Drosophila melanogaster: one gene and its partners. The gene in region 1 interacts genetically with each later gene. Each region holds a gene or a part of one and is shown in the gene's direction. Other genes may lie near its edges.

Region 1 (6,145 bases):
ATGGCAAGCACCGAAGCGCTAAAAAATACGTATAACAGTAATTTACTTTCGACATTAAATGGGGTTCACTAACCGATTTACACTGAGCCATTTCCTGATCGCATCCGATAAATTAGCGGTGTTAGTTGATAATATCACAAGATCTGGCGTGGGTAAGGCTGAAAAATGTAAATAGCTCAGTAATCGATTATTTATATTTTTTATTATATTAGTAACCTACCGTCTACTGAGTGAACTATGACATTGTCGGTTGCCTTGAACAATGAAATCTCTGGGCTGCTGCTGTTCTGCTCCAGCAGTTTGGCCTGCTCCACGTACAGCAGGACAGTAAGCCCATGCGAAGCCAGCTGGCGACCTGTGGCTGCTCCAATGTTAATTGTTCTGAAAGGAATTATGTTAGTCACTGCCTTGAAGTTATGTCCATATACGTTTGATTAAATCACCTCATATTTTTGCCGCCATCGCAGATGATGGCAATCTTCGGCCACTGATGGTTGTTGGCCGGCGTCAATCGCCTGGCGCCGCCCAGCAGTGTAATGGCCAGATCACTGGCTCCGCGCGCCAAAATGTCGATCTGCCTCTGCAGAGAGAGGCCCGCCTTATCGGCACTTATCTCGATTTTATTCCGAACGTAAGCCGGAATCGTCGGTATAATGAGACCGTCGTCCGTCACAAAGTCCTGGCTGCCGCCGAACATGCTTTCGATCTGGCGCAATTGTAGTGGTTTGCTGGCCAGGATGTTCTCGTCGTGCCGATACTTCTGCTCTGGCTTATGATGATGATTGTTCACAATGTGCCGCACCACATCTGGTTTTTGGGTCGTCGACTCGATGTCGTCCCAAATTGCCTGCTTGTCGAACAGCGCTAGATTGCCCTCAAAATCGAAATCCTCGTGGATCAGCGGATCGTCCGCCTCGCTGCCAAAAGTCAGTTGCACCTGTTGCTGCCGCATGCTGCTCTCCCTTCGCACCCTGTTCCGCTTGTTCTTCCCGTTGCCGTTGCCATTTCCATTGGTATAAGAACCATTTCCGGTGCCATTTCCATTGTTATTGGCATTGCCATTCCTTCTTACATTTCCATTTGTATTCCCATAGCTCGAGGCTGCCGTCTGCTTGTAAAATCCATCTCCGTTGCTGACGATATCTATGGGTTTGCTGCTGCCCAACGACAAACCAGTTGCCTCGCCGCTATCTCCGCTGCTGCTGCAGTAACTCTCCCGGGTGTTGCTCACGTAGGAGCCCAGTTTCACCTCGACCTTCGGCGGTATCATGTTGCCAAAAAAGGCGGCCACGCTGTTGGGAGTCGTTGATATCTGCGGCTGCTGCTGAGCGCTGGACGCACGGGATGTTTGTGGTGTTCTGGATGACGAAACAAATATAAAAGTTAGATGAAACCTATTTTAAATACGACGCTCAGTTGGCACAAGACCTATCTGAAACGACTGTTGCTTTTTATCAGTAATAAAGGTAATTTACTCATTTCGTATCTCAAGGTTGGTAAGTTTAAACATAAAGATGGCTTCAAAATGAAATGAAATAAACACAATCGTGCTGACTGCAAAAATCTTCATACTTTTTTTTTTTATAAAGAGCTAACAATTAATTTAAATTATTGGCATTGCACAATCGTTTAATGGGCCATATTACCTAAGGGTGCCATTTGAGCCGTTGGTCTCGATTAGCTTCAGCTGATGCATCTTATCGCTTAGCGCCGAATTGAAGTTGCCACGTGGGCCCGAAGAACTCGATGCTCCGCCAGCCGCTACCCGTCCATTGTCGTTGGCCCTTGACCGCGGCGTCGATGGCAGATCCTGTTCTCGTTCCTGCTCCTGGAACTGCTGTTTCTGTTGCTGCTGGAGTTGTAGCTGCTGCTGCTGCTGCTGGAGTTGGAGCTGCTGCTGCTTGCCCAGGATGTTGGAGAAGTGGGGCAGCTTGACGGGCGTGGGCTTGTTGACCACTGGCGGCGGCGCCGTGTGCCCATCCAGATCTTGCTTTGCGGGCTCGATGAGATCGATGCTGCGAATGTCCGTGCACTTGAGGACCACCTCGGCGTTCTGCTTTCGCAGCGGCACGCCATTGCGGAAAGCCCTCACAATGGTGATCTCCTCGGCAGAAATCTGCTTGATCAGGCCCTGGAAGACGCCCAGGACCTCGTCGCAGGCTATAGACACTGCACAGCCGATCCAGTCTTGATCCGTCGGACCCATGTAATCAGTTTTCGATACTCCCTTTGCGAATGCGACAACACGTTGGATCGGCTTGTTCTGCCCTGGCTAATGGTTGTTCGAAATGTTTGCTGGCCCGCGCAGAGCTGCTTGTTGTTTTCGTTTCTAATACGCAATTTCGCCACTAACTAACTACGCACCACGCACCTCTCTTCCTCTTCTTCCTGCTGCTGCACCGCCGTTGATTCTAGTGTTTTGTGGCTTAAAGTCGGGTGTTTTTGAATTATTTGGCTCTGCGGTCAAGGGGTTCGGTATTTTGTCTCTTTTAATCAATAAATGCACCAACCGTTGCAACACATTGACGCTAAAACTTATTGGATTTCTCGTTTCATTGGGATTTTCACTGCTTGCGTGTGGCCGTTCGTTGGTGTTCAGATAATACCGAACAATACCCAAACTAGCTGCGTGGCAAATTAGTTTACTTAATAAATTTATAATAATATACATATTTATAATAACTACAAATTTCATGCTTTACGGAAACTTCACCTTATTTTGATAAATATTTGGTTCAATAAAAGCCTGCGAGCCATTTTATGAATTTAACAAGTGCTTCCCTTAACTGTTAAGGCTTCTGGGTGCTGTGGTATGTTCTCAGTGCGCGTACACGGTCACTCTGGCAGTTTTGTTCTCGATTTTGTCGCCGTTTTGTGCATTTTTCCCGTCCGGTGTTTAAATTTTATTTAATACTGCGCGTGCGACATATATACAGGCACCTATAGCCGACCGATATCGGCGATTAAGGCATGTGCGCCGCCGAAGCGGTCAAAGTGATAATCGCTTGAATAGTGAGCAGTGTAGAATTTGCCGTGTGATAGAAGTACGTGATGATTTTCCGCAAATAGTGGATAAAGGCGAGCCCACACGCATACCACCGCAAAATATATACATAAATCGGGCGAAAATATAGTGGCCCGTGTTTGTGCGTGTGTAAACGTAAGTGGAAAACTTGGGCGAAACTTTATGCTAACCATAAATGGTCTACAAAGACATGGCTTCGCGCCTGGCTAATTATCAAGAAAATGTTTGGCTTTTGTGCTCTATCACCCACACCTCATTCACACAACACACACACTAGAAACACGCTTGCACGGGGGCAGGGCGGCAGACAGAGATGGCATCTAGCACAAGTACCGTTGTTCACTTTGTTTGCTGTCTTTGTTGTCTGTTCGCTTTTCTTTCCTTCGCTTCTGTACACCCTTCCCCCTCTTGTTACCTTATGGCAGCCTCCTCTTCTTCTTCTTCGTGTCATTTATCGCTTAATTTGCACTTCCGCTTTGCACATATTCACCCTCTCTCCTTCCGTCATTCTTTCATTGCAGAAGCTTCTCTAAAAGAAACAAACAACAACAACACAACAATGTCGGCACGTTCCAGCGGCTTGGTGGCCGCGGCGGCCCTTCCCGTCCCGTCGTCTTCTTCCTCGGTGGCCGGCGGCGACGTGCCACGCCCGCCGCCCCGCCGGCGAGCGGCCTCTGTTGCGGGACAACAGCAAACGCGCCAGGAATTTGGAAATGGTTACACTCCTCGCAGATCGTTGGCAGCAGTGGTAAGTTTACATAAGTGCAGGTGACGACGAAAAGAGAGAGCTTTACCTTGAAGGACAACTTAGGAACTCTTCTAACATCTTAGGAATTTTGTAGGAGCACCTTATGGTTACAACCTTATTTCACAACGCATCCAACTCTGATTGAAAAATTTCATTCCATTTTTGATAAAGCCAGTTAACTAATTATGGGTTATATAAACGCGTATGTATCAAATTAAGTTATCATAACACCAAATAGTGACCGTGGCACCTATATGTTTATCAATTTTTAATAGATAGTAAGGTATTACTTACTATGACATCTTATAAGATACTCTTATCAATTGTTTTGGTTTCGTTGCAAACTGACTAATCAATAAATGTATCTCATTTTAAAGGGCATACCGAAATGTTGTCTTATCAAAACTAAGCCAACCAATTCCTATAACCTTTTATAAGGAATTGCCCACAATGTATCCACCATTTTGTTGGTGTGAAGATTTGAAAAGTATTTATCAACGGGTGGTGCTGGGGGATTTGGTCGCCCTTATCAGTGCCTCCGCTGTATTTAGTGTTTCCATTTTTACGATGTTTTCACTACTAATCTAATCTGCAGATTGCCAAACAGCTGAGTCGTGTAGATGGGCCATGTAGATTTCACTCCCCTCATGGATGATAAAGTGGGATATATGTATGGTGGGAAAAGTAGGGGATCTACAATTCCTTCAGAAGCCGAAAAGCACGAAAAACTTACGAACTGTTCTTATCCAATACCTAGCTTTTACGGTGTAAAGGTCGTTGCATTTCGTCAACCATTAAGTTAGATGTAGTTGTATTTCAGGAGTGACTTCCATAAGTCTTTTTTTAGGAGGGCCTTTAATACAGCACATTACATTTTATCGTTTAGTCATTGTTTGCTTGTACCAATTACTTTATAATGTTAAAGAAAAAGTAGCTTTTTTGCGGATTTTTTAAAATCGAATAACATTTCTTGACTTGCACTTTCCGAAGAGCAGAAAAGTGCCAAGAAAAGTATTAGGAAGCCGCCAGAAAATAAACTGGCATCATCGTTGTTTACTTAGTGTCTGGAATGGGCTTTTCTATTGTTTTGCTCACTTGTATAAACAAATAATTCGCTCGCCATCTCAGGCCGAACGGAAACTAAACTAATTTATTTATCTTAATTTGCCAAAGATGCTAGCCACTTGAGCAGTCATCGGCATCTTCGAAGCTAATTTAATTTATCAACACAATTCTTGGCCGCCGCCTCTTGAATGTTGTGTGTCTACACTTTATGGTTTTCTGGCTGCACAGAGAGAAAAATATTGTTTTAACTTTTAATACCTAGGCTATGTTTAATGGTTTATAAAAGTATTTTAATTTCTAACAGAACTCGCAGAATTATATTATTCATAGTTTCTAAACGTATTATGAACTGACATTTTGTTTTGTGTTTCTTTTACTTTCTTTTTTAGTATCCCAGTGTTGGTTGTTTGCTCTGTTTGCTTTCACTCAATGAGCGATTATTTGACGGCACTTCAATTCTGTTTGTCGAACTCATTGAAGCGTTGTCAGAATGGCTCGAAATTCCTGTCCAAAAAGTGGGAGGTGTATGAATGAATGGCTTATCTTCATTAGTGCTTTTTTTGCCGCAAAAGTTGTATGCCCCCGCTAATTGAGCTCTGTTATTTGGGTTATTTAATCCAATTTGCACGTCAGCCGGCAAGCGGTGACGTCGGCCAATCGACGCACTTGTAAGAACAGTCGACGTCACAATTGCCTTAGCGGATAGCCTTAATGGGCCGCTTATCAGTCAACAGCTGGTCAATTACATCCATTGAATCCATTGCGTCAGCAGTCAGAACATTCTCATGTCTATTATAAGTGATTATACGCTATTTAGCTGAACATTATTAATGGAATTGGAGGGATTCCCAGCCCAAAATACAAATTTCACACAGATACGCACGCACACATAGATAGTCCACTCACATCAACGCACGGCGCAGCCGATCAGCTGTTTTTGTTTTGTTTTGCTTAAAGACACTTGTTCGATGGCAGCTGTCAACAGTGGGAGTGAGAAAACGCGAGAGGAAGACAAAAAGAGTACAGGGCTAAGCTGTCATTTTAAAAAGCTTTCAGCCAACAGCTTGTAGCTGGGGCTTCAGTGTTGAAAAATGTGTTCAGTACTGTTTTGGTATTTTTTTTTTAAGATTAAAAACTTTCCTTTTTATGGTTAATTGGAGCACTTTTTGTGACAATTCATTAAAATATCTATGCATGAGTATTGCAAGTCCACTTCGTATTTTGCTTTTTAATATATTAATATTAGAATTTTTCCCGGAGAAGCCGACCATGAGGTAAATAATTTACTCCGTTCCATCGGTCACACT
Region 2 (5,735 bases), on another chromosome or scaffold:
CCAGTTAACCCACTAACCTTGTTAGCTTAAAAGTGGGCAGCCACTGGTTAAAGGCGCTCACCACCACTGTCAAGTTCAATGCTAAAAGCCTGCCGAAAAGGGGCAGCACACACCTACGGCCAAGCAAATAGTGACAGTCCAATTTAAATTGCAGATATAAAGAAGAACAATTTAAATGTTATGAAATATATACATTTGTTACATTATTATACTATTCAATGAATTCTAATACTGTTGAGCTAAGTATTACAGTTTGAAATTATTATTTCAAAAAAATCTTGCTTCGAGGACTAACCGCTTTGCTAAATTTAGAATATAAATGTAAAATCCTTATCACTTTGCGTGCATATAGAATTTCAGCGATTATCAGTGATGCATTTTAATGACTAGTGTATGATGAATTGAGAACATTGTGAGAGTATGCCTGGATATGTACATACATATGTATGTTGTACCACATGCCCCATCATCATGCCCCCTGCTGTGCGGAAAAAGTAGGCGGGGAGGCCAGTGGGCGTGGCGGGGCCTGAGGTCATGCGATGGCCTTCGAAGGAGGCGACATGCGCAGTGGGTTAGTGAGCCATTTGGCTGCTGGATTGCGGGGCTGTGGAGTGGGAGGTGTTTATATAACAACAATGCTAGTGCAGGCCCGCCGACATTCGCCTGCAATGTGACCTTCACCTTGGCAGTGGCCGCAAGGCCGCGCCTGCACCACCCACCCAATTTCCACACCACCAGACCAGCCCATGTCCGCCCAATCCAGCCCATTCTGGTAAGGCCCCCTGGCCTTGATCTTAAACTTTCCCACGAGAAACAGACAGGTATTCGGTATTCACCTGATTTCTTGCTGCTGCCTTTGGATTTCCAGTTTTCTGCTCGACAGCAATTTCTATTATTATTCTTGCAGCTGCCGTTGATGTTGTTGTTGTTGTTGTTGTTCTCGTTGTTCTTCGCACCTTTTTTTCTGCAATGGGAAATTTGCATAAAATATTCAATCAACTTTCATTGTTCCAGGCGGCTGCCATTGCCGGGCTTCAATTTCGAGCACATAAAAAAAATGCAAACAAACAGAAAGCAAAACAAAGTTCTCCCTCTTTTTTTGGGTAGTTTCTCTTTGAGCCTACGCGATTAAACAAATTAGCACTGAAAACTTGTTGAAACAAATATGCCGCGAGCTTGACAAATTGACAAAGGAAGATTTACGCGTTTCAATGGATTCTTCTTTTCATCTCATCGAGCTTACACTTTCCCAAAAAACCAGAATGAAATCGCAGAGAGAGCGAGTTTTCGAAAACGCGTCCGATTGCCAGCGCCGTTTAAGTTCGACTGAGTTTGTGGCGCGTTGTTCGTGTGCTACGGAGGCCAGAAATCAGAAATCCAGCCGCCAATGCTGCGACCTCCAATCGGGCTGAAAAAGGGTTTTAGTCACGAAAGTTTTTCTTGAAACAATTAATCATTTATATCACTGATTAAAATTATTTTTTTTGTAATTTTTTCCTTAGTTTTTGAATTTTTAAAAGCAATTTTCTTGAAAAGCCTTTTAACCTTTTGGTTTTCAAGACATTCTGCTTTTGCCAGCCTGCACATTTTGAGCACCCGCTGCAATTTTACAGCTGCCAGCTTGTGTCAGTGTGCACAATTGGAGAGACTAAGTTTGCGTATTCAGTATTTTTTAGGTATATTGTAAACTACTTTTACAATATTGTTTAGAAACAAACTCTCTCATTTTCCTAGTTTCTATTCGGTCTACAATACAATTTCTTTAAAAAACAACATTAATACAATTACGATATCTGACCGGAACGGTGGAATATCGAACATGGGGCAGTTTTTTATTTATATATTCTTTTGTTATTTATAGGTGAATTCTAAACAATATAAATGCAAAAAATGTTAAAAAAAAAAAGATCTAACTATCTATGTTCGACCTAAGTTTAGAGAAAAATCGACTCCCCACTCTTTGGGGTATATCTCCACTCGTAGGACATTTCTTTAAGGACATTTCAGGAAAAATGTAGTTGCCATAAAAAATGTTTACCTAGTTTTTGAGATAATGGCACTCATATCATTATTATTATGGACTCATATTAAATACCATTCTTATTTTTAACAAATTTTATTCTTGTTCAAATGTACTTTTAGAGGCTCAAGTTTGAATAAAGTTGTTGAAGTGAAATGGCGCAAAGTAAGACCCTTTCATCCAGCAGTATTATTTGTTCGGTATTTTTGCTGGTATTTTCGGTTCGAATGTTTTTGGAAATGGAAAAGCAGAGCAGAGCTAAATTGCAATCAGATCTCGACGCGACGGCGGTGAAGAAGCATCAGTAAAAGCGCGCGGAAAGTGTATGTTTCAAAACTCCGCTCAGAAAACCATATTTGTTATTGTAAATAATATTCCCTTAGAAGTTTGGAATATTTCCCGCGACAATTTTTTTTTCGGTGAAATTTCATACCGTTTTGCCACAAAAAAAAAAGAGGAAACCAAAACAACGGAAATAGTTAATAACAAAGTGCGTGAGCCTTTTTTTTATTATTATTTTTCGTGTGTGTAAGAGCGGTGATTTGGCGCTGTGTGTGTGTGTGTGAGTGTATTGTGCATCTCACTGTTACTTGTGGTCGTGTAGGTCAAGGTGAAGCAGCTGCACCGTTAGTTTTCCACCCATTGACTATGCAGTTTTCAATCGCAAATGCATTTGATATTATGCATATGTGTGTGCAGAAACCCTAAAAAGTCAATATTGCAGTTAGTAGCTCTCTTTCGCACTGCCCACCCTGCCTGCCTCCCAACCACCCTCCCTCCCGCTCGCACCTCATCGAGTGAGATAAGCACTAGATAAGCATGTGTACGTAAGTTACTGTTAAGCTTAACCCTTAGTGAACAACAAACTTGCACGCAAATGAAATGTGAGGTTTAAAAATATATAGAACACAATTAAACAAAAATATGAAACAGTAATTAAAGTGTGGGAGTTAATCCCCCCAAAAATCGCAACTATAACCGATTAATATGCGCTAATAAAACTAAATATATATATTTTCAGTACTTACCTATGTTATAAATTAGTTGCCCATTTTATATTAACTTTTAGTGTCAATTTAATGTGGCAGCACTAGCAGCTGGCAACGTGCAGCAGTAACAACAAAAACATAAAACAACACCGGATTGTGCAACCTGCAACTTGCAACACAAGCGGCAAAACGGCGTTTCTACCGCAGCGTCGCCTCTTCGGCGGCGGCAATGTGCCCCCCTCGGCGACCATGAAGCATCAGCCGCCGCCCCCGCCACTCCCGCTCAGCCAACCGCCCACGATGGGCGCTACAGCGGCGGGGGGCGTGGCCAGCGTCATAAGCACGATGAACGGCAGCAGCAGCAGTGGCATTGAGGCGGTTAAATGCCGACCACCCATTTACCCCAAACGTAAGTAAAAGCCTCTTTCCATGCTGCACACAAATTTGTAAAAAAAAAAAAAAAAAAAAAAATCAGAAAAGAAGCAGACGAAAACATCAAGGGGTTGATGAAGCAGTTTACAAAGGGGTTCACCGTTGTATTGTATTGTATTGGTATTGGCACTACTTACTTCTAATGCGTAAAACGCATTCCCAGAAAACTCTGGTATTCTCATAATTTGACTGAAAAAAGACAATACTGAACACAGTAAAATTCCTGGAAATATGAACGTAATGAAATGATGTAATGTTTGTGAGATTTTCGAAATCATCAATCAACGAAAGATAAAACAGATCACCACCATTTTCGCTCGGTTAAGCTTTTATTTGGAATTATTAATTAATTTCTTAGTAACTCATATCTATGATGCATAGCTAAACGAAGCCTACATCATAACATGGCTCAAGTTATCATACCAAATTGATAACGAGAACGACCTTTAAAGATAAGCGGTTGATTAGCTACAGGCCCAGTTAACCGAATGACATTAGTTTAAAGAATGTTAGGAATATTATAATATTAACATTTAGGCACAACTCCACATCTTGGCTTACAGTGCATTTGGGTTCCCTTTTTTCCACGGGCCAATTGCATTTGGCTGGATCGATCTTATCTGGTATTTGGCATTCGGTATCTGGTAACTGGGATCTGGAATATGGGATCTCGATAGGCTGCCCCATTACGTGGGGCCCACTTCGCTGCTTTTCCGCCGACAAGAAAATTGACTGGCCACCGTAACTACGTATGTATATGTACAAATATATATGTATGTATATATGTACATACTGTATGTATTTTCCGATGGTTTTGGTTTCGGTTTTGGAGGAAAGTCGACGGCGGCGGCTTCCTTTCCTTTTTGCCCACTTCACTTTGTTTTGGCTTCGCTTTCGCCTTGGATTTTTTTCATCAACTTTTTCTTGGCTTTTCGACTGGGGAGTTTGGACTGAGTTGGTTGTTGGTTGCGACTGCCGTATTTGGTAGGCGTAGACTGTGTTTTTATTTTATTATTATTTTTTTTTTTTTTTTTGCCCCATGTTTTCTATTTTGTTCCTACTTCTCAGCTTGTGTAGTGTGGCCGCACCCAAAACCACCCAGCACAATCCCAATTGCAGATCGGTCTGGGCCTTGGGTCTTTGGCTCTTTGGTCTTGGCCATTTGGCTACTTGGCATTGGCCTTAACTTGGTAACTTGGTTACTTCGGTGGGCAACGTGACCGCAGCTAACGGTTCTCCTGGTTGACATGTCGTTAGTGGCCGATGAACATTTGTGTCGCCGATATCGGGCTACGGCCCTCCTAACTTGGCCGAACGACCTATTGGAATCTATGTTTACTATGCTACACCGCAAGAAAACGAGGTCAATTATAAGCTTTTCAATTGTATTTGATGTCTATCTCAATAACTTCTCAATGGTCATATTTTTGATTAAAATTAAAAGAACACAGTAACGTCTTAAAGTAAAAGATTACATTGATCCCAAGATGTTATCATCATACTTATTATTATATTATTAATCACTTATGTTCTAAGACATTTATGACTCAGTAAGATTTGTTAATATCCATTAAATTCAATTGGAATATATTCCCAGCCGGTTCATATGGAGTGTAATATTTTTATATGCATTTATTAATCGATTCACAATTTGGTGAGCAATAGTTTTTCTCACTTCATTCAGCTAGCAATGACTAGCAAACACATGTTTACATACAGACATCTAGAATAAAACGTGATAAGATAAACGCAATATTTATAAATTTTCACTGAGCTCACCTCAACTGGTGTTTTATTTTGTTAGTGGATTATACAGTGTTTACTAGCCAATTATAGCAAGTAAGCCAGTTTGAAAATATTGGCATATTATGGATATATAATGGATACAATCAAATACAGTGTTAAGTCAGTCAACTCTCCCCAAATGGCGTTCAATTAGTTGCATTGGGAAAAATCACGCTCATCGATTGTCTAAGTTTAGTCATCCATTTCCATTTCCATTTGCTATTTCCATGGTGCATTCCTTTCGCATTCCAAGTTTTCCAAGTTGCAGTTCCAATTTTTATTATGGAAGGCTTTCGTTGGTTAGTTCCAATTAAAAATGCCGCAGCCTAGCGTTTAAAAACTCATTAGGAGCCAACTTCATTGTTATGGCAAATGAATACACATCTATGTACATACATACATATCTACCGCAATTGTGGTTGTCGTTCCCTTTGCCCGATGTCAGCGATATGTTCTACTATATGTTTTCTCTCACTCATTGTTCGCATGATGTGGGGGCGTTTATGTGC
Region 3 (9,178 bases), 120 kb from region 1:
ATGGAACATTCGCCAAACTCTCGATGACGAGGTACCACAGCCCATTGTAGCCGCCTTAAATTGCAATAACTAACAACAAGGACAGCAAATAAGAATTAATAATGCATATCAGTGTATACTTGTAATGAAACGTAAACAGGCGATAGTGCGGTGGGCCTATAAACAATATTATTTGCTCTTCGAATTTGTGATGCTGTAATCAGTTGTAGGAGCATCATAGAATTTGTAATGCATTTTTCAAAATGCTAATAAAGCTAGACGTTTACTTGCATAAATACTCTTGTATTTGTTTATATTCATCGCATCCAAATAAACTGCACGTTGCAATACTATTTATATTTAAGACATTTTTATGGAGGTCAGCTATAAAATAATCCACATTGTACAATATTTTAAGCTTTTCACAGTTTAGATCTTCCAAGCCCAACTTGAATAAATTTAATAAATATCTCCCTTTGTCAGGATATCAAACATTGCAGTTCATGTCACTTTAAAAACATTTGATCCAAGTATTCCAAAGTAGAAAGTAGTTATTAAGGTAAAAGTGTTAGGCAAGACATTATTATTAAATTGTCACTACTTTTTGGTGATATTTTCTAAGAGCACCGATCTCATTATTATATGAATATATGGTTGACTTAGGAACTGTTTGATCATGCGCGGTATCCGGATAAAAACAAGATTAAGAGAGCGGAAAGACGGCGATGTCAAGGCTGCGTCACAGATCGGAAATAGACATCAGCTACGATTTTGGCGGGCAGAAATATGCTGTTTGCCGTTTCAGTTACCACAATTACTCCAGCAGGCTGATCAAATATTGATCGACTTGAGGACCCCCACCATGTGAGCCCACTACGTCACTGCTGACGGCCACAAAGGGGGGGGGGGGGTGTGGTGTGGTGTGATGTCTTTGCGATAAGAATTTCGGCTACAATGCCGCGAATTTGTTGCCTCAGCCGGGAACTTTCCTTTGCCATCGATAACAAGATAACAAATAAAATGATTTAATTTATACTTATGAATCGAAAACTCCCACGGCGTCGCATTGCAGTAACTGGCTTGTCAGTTACTCTCAAACTGTGTCCACAGCTTTTCCGCGGTGGCGCGTAGAAAAGCTCACGCCACCTTGCAGTGGCTCTAAAAACTTTTAAAAACTAAATCTCTTTAGTTAGATTAGATCTCTCATATTACAAGCCAATTTTATGTATATCCCTGATCTTGATGTTTATATTTTTTAAATTCAGTGGCTTGACATCCCAGAAGTTTGGAGTACTAATCTCACGTCTACACATTTTTAGTTCTTGAACAGAATATATTTAACAAAATATAAATATTCAATGATTTTGAAAGAAAATGGTACGGTCTATAGTTTTGTTTCGGATTTTATTAATCTACAGTTTTGGGTATGCTTATTTTAGATCCTGTTGGTTCGCAGGTAATCTTCATCGTCATCTCCATCGGCATCCTCCACCACGCTGTACGAATTCTTGCCGGCACCATCCTTGGCCAGATGCGTTTCGAAGAACTCCTCGACAGTGTCTGTGTTCCACTTGGTTATGGACAACGTCTCCTGCACTTTGCCACTGGCATCTAGGAGCTTAACCACGGGATCCAGTCCTCTTACGTATTTGATCTGCAGGTTGGGGAACTTGGCAGGTCGGCCGCTTTGAATAAAGGCCTGAATCTGCGGATAGGCCCGGAATTTGCAGGTGCACACCTCCAGAATTGCCTTGGCATATGTCCGCTGTGCCGCCGGCTGCTGATCCAAAGTGCAGCATTGCTTACACTGAGGCCTGAAATGTTAAAAATGTTTTGGATGAATAAAAAAGAGCAATGGGCTCAAGCAGAAACTATAAAAAGTTAATATAATTTTTGTTATTAAAAACTGAAGGAAGAATCATATTTAGTCAGTGGTATGGAGGAGCTTACTAAGTCAAGCTAAGCATTTTTGGTTGGAATATTTAAAATGAGGTATGAAATTTAACCTGATCTAATTAGATTAACATATTAATTAAACAATTTTCAGGTCTTCTTATGGAATGATTATAGCATAGTTCATGGGTATCTTTACAACTCCAAAGCTAGATTAATTAAATGTTATTGAACCCACTTGATGGTATCCAATCCGAAATCATCCAGTTTTTCGCAACTGGAACACATTAACTGGGCCTTAATAAAACCCAACGCCCGGCAGTCGGCGGCCGTCAATTCGGCTTGAATTTGCTGGCACTGTAGGGTATAAAATATATATTAAAAACATGTCTTAGCTTCAGACATAACTTACACTTAAAGCCAGTAGAAGAAATATAGCACATTTATGCATTTTTGTGGCTAAATTCTAATTAAATTTACTACGTCCACGTCGTTGTTTACAAAATTTTCTTAGCTTAGTGATGAGTAGAAGGGAAAATAACATTATTTAGGCTTATCGATTATATTCGGGTTGCTTGTCTTTTCATCGTTTAGGGTATTCCGTATACTGTTTATGAATTAGACAATTAATCAAACTTTTGAACAGCTTTAATAAACTTATTATTATTATTTCTTGATATTTTTTCAGCAATTTGAAACTTTTGTCACTATAAAAGTGTACAAAATAATTTCAGGTTTTTATATTCAAGTACGCAAGTTTATTTTCCGATGTTAATAACTAATTTCATGTGATTCGATAGCTTATCACGCTTACATCCCTACAATCGATACGGACTGCCCAGCAGCTGGCCACCACTAGCTCAGAAATCGAAGATTATTCGTGGTGGTGCATTTGTTTTTTTCGCTTCGCTCGCGAAGTGAGCCCAGTTTTAAATTATTTAAATTGCGTATAGTGAAGCCACTTGAAAGCGAAACGCCTACTGTCGCAGTTCTGCCAAAAAACCAACAGTATTAGCTGTGTGCGTGTTTGGCAACAACAAGTCAACAAAATTCGAACAAAATCAATAAAACGGAAACGTGAGAGAGCGCTGCGCAAAAGAGAAAAGCGAACGCAATCGCAATCGACCAACGCATAGAAGAAAACAAGGTGAATAAATAGAACATGGCATAGAAAAGGCGAACTAGAATCAAATCGAATTAAAATCGGGTACAGAAATAGACGTGAAAAGAAAGGGCGAAGAAAGGGAAACAAATAACCGTTACAGGAGCACTCCTGGAGATTTAAGGCTCTCTCTCCCCCTCCTCAGCACTTTAGCCCCAGTTGTGCGTTTGTGTGTGTACATGTGTTTATGTTTTGTTTAGCACATTAATAATCTTAATTCTGCTAGATTTCGCCACTCAGGTGCTAAACGCTAAAAAAAAAAGTGCACACTCCGATAAGTCTACCCCTGTGTCGGTGTACTTGTTTATTTAATTCATATTTACTCAAGTAAATTAATTCATTTGCCCTTGTACAATAACAACAAGCGCCGTTTGCTTGGAAACTCGTTCTCGCAGTCGACCGCCTCCCCTCTTCGCTCCTAATCTTATTCTTTCTCTATTCCACTGCAATACCACTGCAGCTGTCGGTGCCTGTGTGTTTTTCATTCAATCCAGGAAATTGCCCCTTGAGAGACCTTCCATTCAGACAGCTCCATCTGCATCTTCTTCAGCTTCTTCCGCTTGCATCTTCATCCTCTCTCTTGTGCTCCCGGTCCCGTTTAACTGGTTTACTTTATGCTTTATTCCACTGATGCCTCCTCTATCGCCCTCTCCCTTGCGCACACCTGCTGCTTGGCAGCTGTCCACGCGCTCAAATTTCTTATCACCGAACAAACTCCGGCTGAAACCCAAAACCTGGCCCAAACTGCGTTGTTACTTTTCCACGGCAATTCCCTAATTTCCAACGCCTTTTGTCACGGCCCTGTTGCTTTCTCCCTCTCGAGAGCTCTAACTCCCTCTCCAATCCTATTTTTACATACACGCATACGCAGTAAAACTTGGCTATGACAAACCACATATTATTCTATAGATACCAAATACTGTTTTTTTAATACTGTATATTGTTAGATACAAAAACACTTTTGGAATTACAAATCCAGATGGAATTATTAAAAAAAAATATGTATATATTTTGCACAAAATTTCTCATCTGTTTCAAAGGTAATTCCATATGTGTTGACATTTAGAAATGTAAAAGCTTTTCTATTTATTTTAAAGATTCAAAAATTATTTTTAGCCGAATGCATACGCATTAAAAGCAAATCGATTTATTCGGTTTAAACATCTATTGTTTTTCAATGGAAAAACCAGTGTATTTTCCAGAGAACCTTACCTAAGTTTTTATATGTATATATTACATTGAAAATAATTATATGCCAGCTTTGAAGCATGTTAACGATAAGTGTACTTGAGCCCGATTGTTAGTGAATTCTTAAAAAATAAGAATGAGCAAAGTCGCTTTACATTGGGATTGATTGTGAAATCCTCCAAATCTTTGTGTGTCACTATAGAGTCTTATTTAAAATGATATTACCAAATGTATTGGCAAAACGCAGATAAGTTCAACTGTACAATGTGCAATCTCTCGGTTTCGTGCAATTTTGCAATTTTTCAAATGCCCGCACATCTGACTCATCCACAGGTAACTGTAATTACTGCCTAGCATCCACTTGCTTTCCGCACCTGTGGATGGTATTTGTCACCTTATCAATACGGTTTCTCTGTGTTGACTGTGATTTTAGATATTCCTGCGCACGAAAAAAATTGGACACCTCTAAATTTAATTATACAAATAGTACTGTTTATGTTTTCCTATATTTATTGAAGTATTTTAAAGTGTGTATACAAAAGTAATTATTGAGTGCATATGAAACCAAAGTCTTTTGTATTCTGATACAAAAATCATATCATATATGATATCAAAATTTATTTCTGTGTACTCTGCTGTTTGTGAGGTCAATTTTTGATAAGCCACCAGGTGCTCATTTAGCTCGTTGGCGCCTATTAGCTCATTATTCAAGCTTACGTCCGGCTCACCCACATACCCACAGATATAAAAAAAAACTATACAAAAAACCCATATATGCACTCGCAGAAATTAGGGCCAACTTAAGCCCACTCACGCAGTTTCTTTATTGGCTTGAACTATTTTTGTTTTGCTCGTTTGGCTCCGTTTATATTTCAATTGACCGAAAGGTCATCTTAATTGCATTTGTGTTTTGCGACTGTCGCACTGTCCTACTCGCACTCGCACTCGCACTCTTCTCCTGCCATTTCAGCTGTCAACTTTCACTCGTGAGCTTTGTTGTTGTTATTTTTAGACGTAGGTGCGTGCCACACATGTGATGGGAGGAAAGGGGAAATTTTATGGGGCTTAGGGCTCCGTTGAGCTTTACAAAGCAATTGGACACGGTTTAGTCCAAGGACTCGCGACTGTGGATTGAGATTCCGACTAGTGACGAGAGTCCTAGAAAATAAAAGCTAAATGCTATCTTATATATAATTGACTGTTTGAAATAAAGTACAAATATTAGATTTAATGTGCTAACATCCAAACAGGTGACGAAAGCAAAACTTTTTAAAACGAAGTGTATATTTATTATAATTGCAACTGTTTCGCTCTTCTTTCCTTCACTTCCAAGTAGAAGAATATAACTTTAGTTTTGATTAATAATGTAATATTGCATGTTTGAATAAAAAAATAGTTCAATTTCACTGACATATTTCCTAATATAAATTTAGACAGTTAAGTTGGCATGACTAGCGTTTATTGAAAGCACTTAGAAAGTTTTAATTTACGTTAAGTGGAATTCCGAAAATTAGTGTTTCTGAAAACGACACTGTTATTGTGGATCACAACTAAGGCGAGCACTAATTTGTTTATGTTTTTTACGCCCACTCAAATGGTCGCCACTCAAATGTTGCTTACAAATGATGTATTTGTTTCAGCAGAATTACTCAACATCGTTGTTTCTGTTGATCATTCGAATTATTTTGTTTATATACGCAACGGGATCAGTTACATTCTAATGAAGCTCATTCTTTCTCCGGAAAAGATCTTGTTTATAACAAGGCGTTTCGAAATCCTAAGGTTAAATCAATTTTTTATACGTTTAAATACATCTTGTATTAAACAGTTTTTATATATTGAAGTGCCTGAAGTGTTCGCTATGTTAAGTGAGAGTGTAAACAGAAAAACCAATTGATAATGAATGCAGGCTGTGCAAATGCCACAGCCGCTTGGGTTCCGCTCGCGATTCCGGCCAGGTAAATAAACGATGTCATTTTTTTGTTAAAAATTTATGAAATTCGATTTTCTGTTTCTCGTTCTCACTTAGGTCGAGGAGCATAGGTTGTAATTGTGAGAAGGAGGCGGCTGGCGGTGCTAGGCAGGCAATTAACCCACACAGACCCGAACACGAGCTTACATTTTTGATTTGTTTTTAATTGCACTTCGTTTTTGTTTTGCAGCCGCCTGCCAGCCAAAGCCAAGAATTCCACATTACAAAACACCTTAAACTGCATTGCCACATTCCCAAGTAAGCTGCCATGAGTTAAGATCAAGATGCGAGCCCAGGATCTGCTGCTGCTTGCCACCGCTTTAATCGGCGCTTACCTACCGCTCACCGCCGCCTGTTCCTCGCGTGCCATCGCTAAGCCGCGGCCAACAGCTGCACCGATCCTGCCGCCGGATAATGTGGAAATATCCACAACGCCGAGACCGAATGTCACCTTCCCGATCTTCGCCTGTCCACCGACCTATGTCGCCTGGTATTGCCTGAACGATGGCACCTGCTTTACGGTGAAGATCCACAATGAAATCCTATACAACTGCGAATGTGCGCTGGGATTTATGGGTCCGAGGTGCGAGTACAAGGAGATTGATGGCTCGTACCTGCCAACCAGGAACCGTGTGATGCTAGAGAAGGCCAGCATTGTTAGCGGAGCAACGCTGGCCCTTCTGTTTATGGCCATGTGCTGTGTGGTTTTGTATCTGCGACACGAGAAGCTGCAAAAACAAAAGCTGCACGACAGCACCACAACCACAACGACCGACGGTGGCTGTCAGAACGAGGGCATGGACGAGGTGGATGGCTTGCGACCCTTACGTCCAGTGAGACGTCCCTTTGGACCCTGCCGCATCCTATCGCTGGAGGAGGCCCACCTTCAAGCGAAAGCCTCCAATCGCCCCAGGCATTGCAACGAACTTTTGCGCTAACTAATTAGCCTGGCTGCTCATTTGTTTTTAAATGTCTAACATGTCCAACTGTTTATTTTAACTGCTAAACGAAACTATTATTTTTGCCATCTGATTGAGATGGCGAATGCCGTAGTTCTAAGTGCCTACTGACGTGCCTATAACACATTTAGATCAAGTATTAACGAACGAAAACTGATTGCTCAGAGAGAGATAAAAATAAATCTAGATATAATTCAATGCAATTTTGGCAGCTAGCCGCCCATTTATTTATTATACACCTAATTTTATTAAAAAAAAAAACGCGTGAACTAATATCGTCAATAAAAGCGAGAACTAAATCACCAGCTTTACTTTCAATTTAGATAATGCAAATTTCGAATACCTTTAGAATTTGATTGGGAATAGTTTGCACAAAATTCACCATGGCCTTGATTTTCCTTTTATTTCAGAGATGCATGTAAATACTAAACAGTTGATCTGTTAAGCTACACGAAAATAAGGATATCTTAAATTTAGTATGTAAGAAAGAAAAGAATTTCTTAAGAATCTTCTTTTCTGAGACGTCACCTTAGGCTGTCAAAAAAATTCATATGCTTTGTAACCCCTTAAGCACTGAATTAATTTTCCCGTTTTCCGTTTGTAATTTCCAGTCATGCCGCACAACAACCAGCCGTCTCCCGGGGATGATCAGTTGGGACCGCCAAAGGCGGACTTCAGTGCTCCGCCACCGTACGAGGCGAACGTTGGCCATGGCCAGCAGGTAGCACTGCCGGCTCAGATGCCACCGCTGGCCTTGGCCACACCCGATCCCAGTCAGATCCCGATACAGATGCAAGTGCAGCTGCCGAGCCAGGCGGACCTTATGAATGCACAACTGCCGCCAGAAATACACGGGAAGTTGCCCACGTACGAGGAGGTTCAAATGGAAAAGTCGCTGAACGGAGAGCTGCCGCCCGCCTTTTTGACTTTACCCTCCTCGCAGCAGCTACCGCCGCCGCCGAATCCGCTACTGCCGCCAAATCCGCTGCGCGATGGAGCCGCTGCTGTGCGATCTGCCCAGCCGGCACTCACGTTCATCGCCATCGATGCCAGCGATCCGGAAAATAGTCTGTCCACCACCGACAACTTGCTCGGCACGGACATCATGTTCATCACGGCCTTCATTGTGGCCTTTTTGTTTAACTGGATCGGCTTCCTGATGCTCACCTGTTTCTGTCACACAATCGCCGCCCGATATGGAGCATTGTCGGGATTCGGATTGTCGCTGGCTAAATGGACGCTGATCGTGAAGCACTCGACGGACTTGGCCTCGCACGAAAACTCCTGGCTCTGGTGGCTGATCTGTGCCTTTGGCTTCCTGATCAGCATACGCGCTTTAATACAGTATGTCAGCATCAAGCGATCGTGGCGCCTCCTTTCCGCCTCTGCCCAGGAACGGCTGCTATTCTTTTACTAGGTGCACCTGGAGGCTTTCCAGTGGTCGTCTTGTAAATACGTTGTGGGTGGCTAGGAGGCTCGAATGCTACCAACCAACCGATCCCAACACCCTCTATTCCCCAGACCCAGCACACGAAAAATCAACGCGAACTTATTTTGCAGAGTTCTCGAAATCACTATGGACTTGAAAGTATTCCCTCAAATGTATTAGTCAATCAATTTCTTTAAAATAGAAGTAATGTTATTCAAAAATATACTTTGTATATCCGTTTACTACACTTTCAAGTCACAAACTTATTGGGATATCTCGCAAGTCCAAAATTGCATTAGCTTTCAAGAAAGTTTCAATTTTCTTTTAAATACTAAATGTATTGAACAGTTTTACATTAAGCCAATTGTAAATTGTAAACGGTGCAGCGGCTTAGATGTTGCGAAGAAAATTCGATTTCGAGAGCTATCCGAGTTGTGGGTTATCATTTTTTGTAGTTTCTGTGTTAACTAGAGACGTTAAAAATGTGTGTTAAAAAGTGAAAGGCGAATGCATCTTCGCATCTGCTCTCCCCCAATCGATTATAATTGTAAATGTATGTGAAATGTGTATGGATATATAAATATCTCACCCTAATT

Evidence for each region. A genetic interaction does not mean that the proteins touch.
Region 2: of Nedd4 (region 1) and Septin4, changing one enhances a phenotype caused by changing the other (phenotypic enhancement), as found in Drosophila melanogaster (one study listed by BioGRID).
Region 3: of Nedd4 (region 1) and Ndfip, changing one enhances a phenotype caused by changing the other (phenotypic enhancement), as found in Drosophila melanogaster (one study listed by BioGRID).

What each region holds. Positions count from the first base shown.
Region 1 is NT_037436.4:17,527,263-17,533,407, forward strand, and holds the start of Nedd4 (Nedd4), read left to right. Parts: upstream 1-2,818; 5' UTR 2,819-3,160; intron 3,161-3,546; 5' UTR 3,547-3,584; coding exon 3,585-3,773; intron 3,774-6,145. Other genes in the region: Edc3 (enhancer of decapping 3), read right to left, coding at 1-18, 74-158, 221-381, 444-1,358, 1,647-2,206. UniProt on the Drosophila melanogaster protein: Essential E3 ubiquitin-protein ligase which accepts ubiquitin from an E2 ubiquitin-conjugating enzyme in the form of a thioester and then directly transfers the ubiquitin to targeted substrates.
Region 2 is NC_004354.4:16,691,726-16,697,460, reverse strand, and holds the start of Septin4 (septin 4), read left to right. Parts: upstream 1-2,287; 5' UTR 2,288-2,343; exon of another isoform or gene 2,344-2,847; intron 2,848-3,041; exon of another isoform or gene 3,042-3,089; 5' UTR 3,090-3,258; coding exon 3,259-3,418; intron 3,419-5,735.
Region 3 is NT_037436.4:17,647,833-17,657,010, reverse strand, and holds the start of Ndfip (Nedd4 family interacting protein), read left to right. Parts: upstream 1-2,730; 5' UTR 2,731-3,019; intron 3,020-6,384; exon of another isoform or gene 6,385-6,478; coding exon of another isoform or gene 6,479-7,132; exon of another isoform or gene 7,133-7,449; intron 7,450-7,764; 5' UTR 7,765-7,766; coding exon 7,767-8,570; 3' UTR 8,571-9,178. Other genes in the region: CG7484 (uncharacterized protein), read right to left, coding at 1,415-1,793, 2,111-2,229, 2,285-2,323; Krn (keren), read left to right, coding at 6,479-7,132.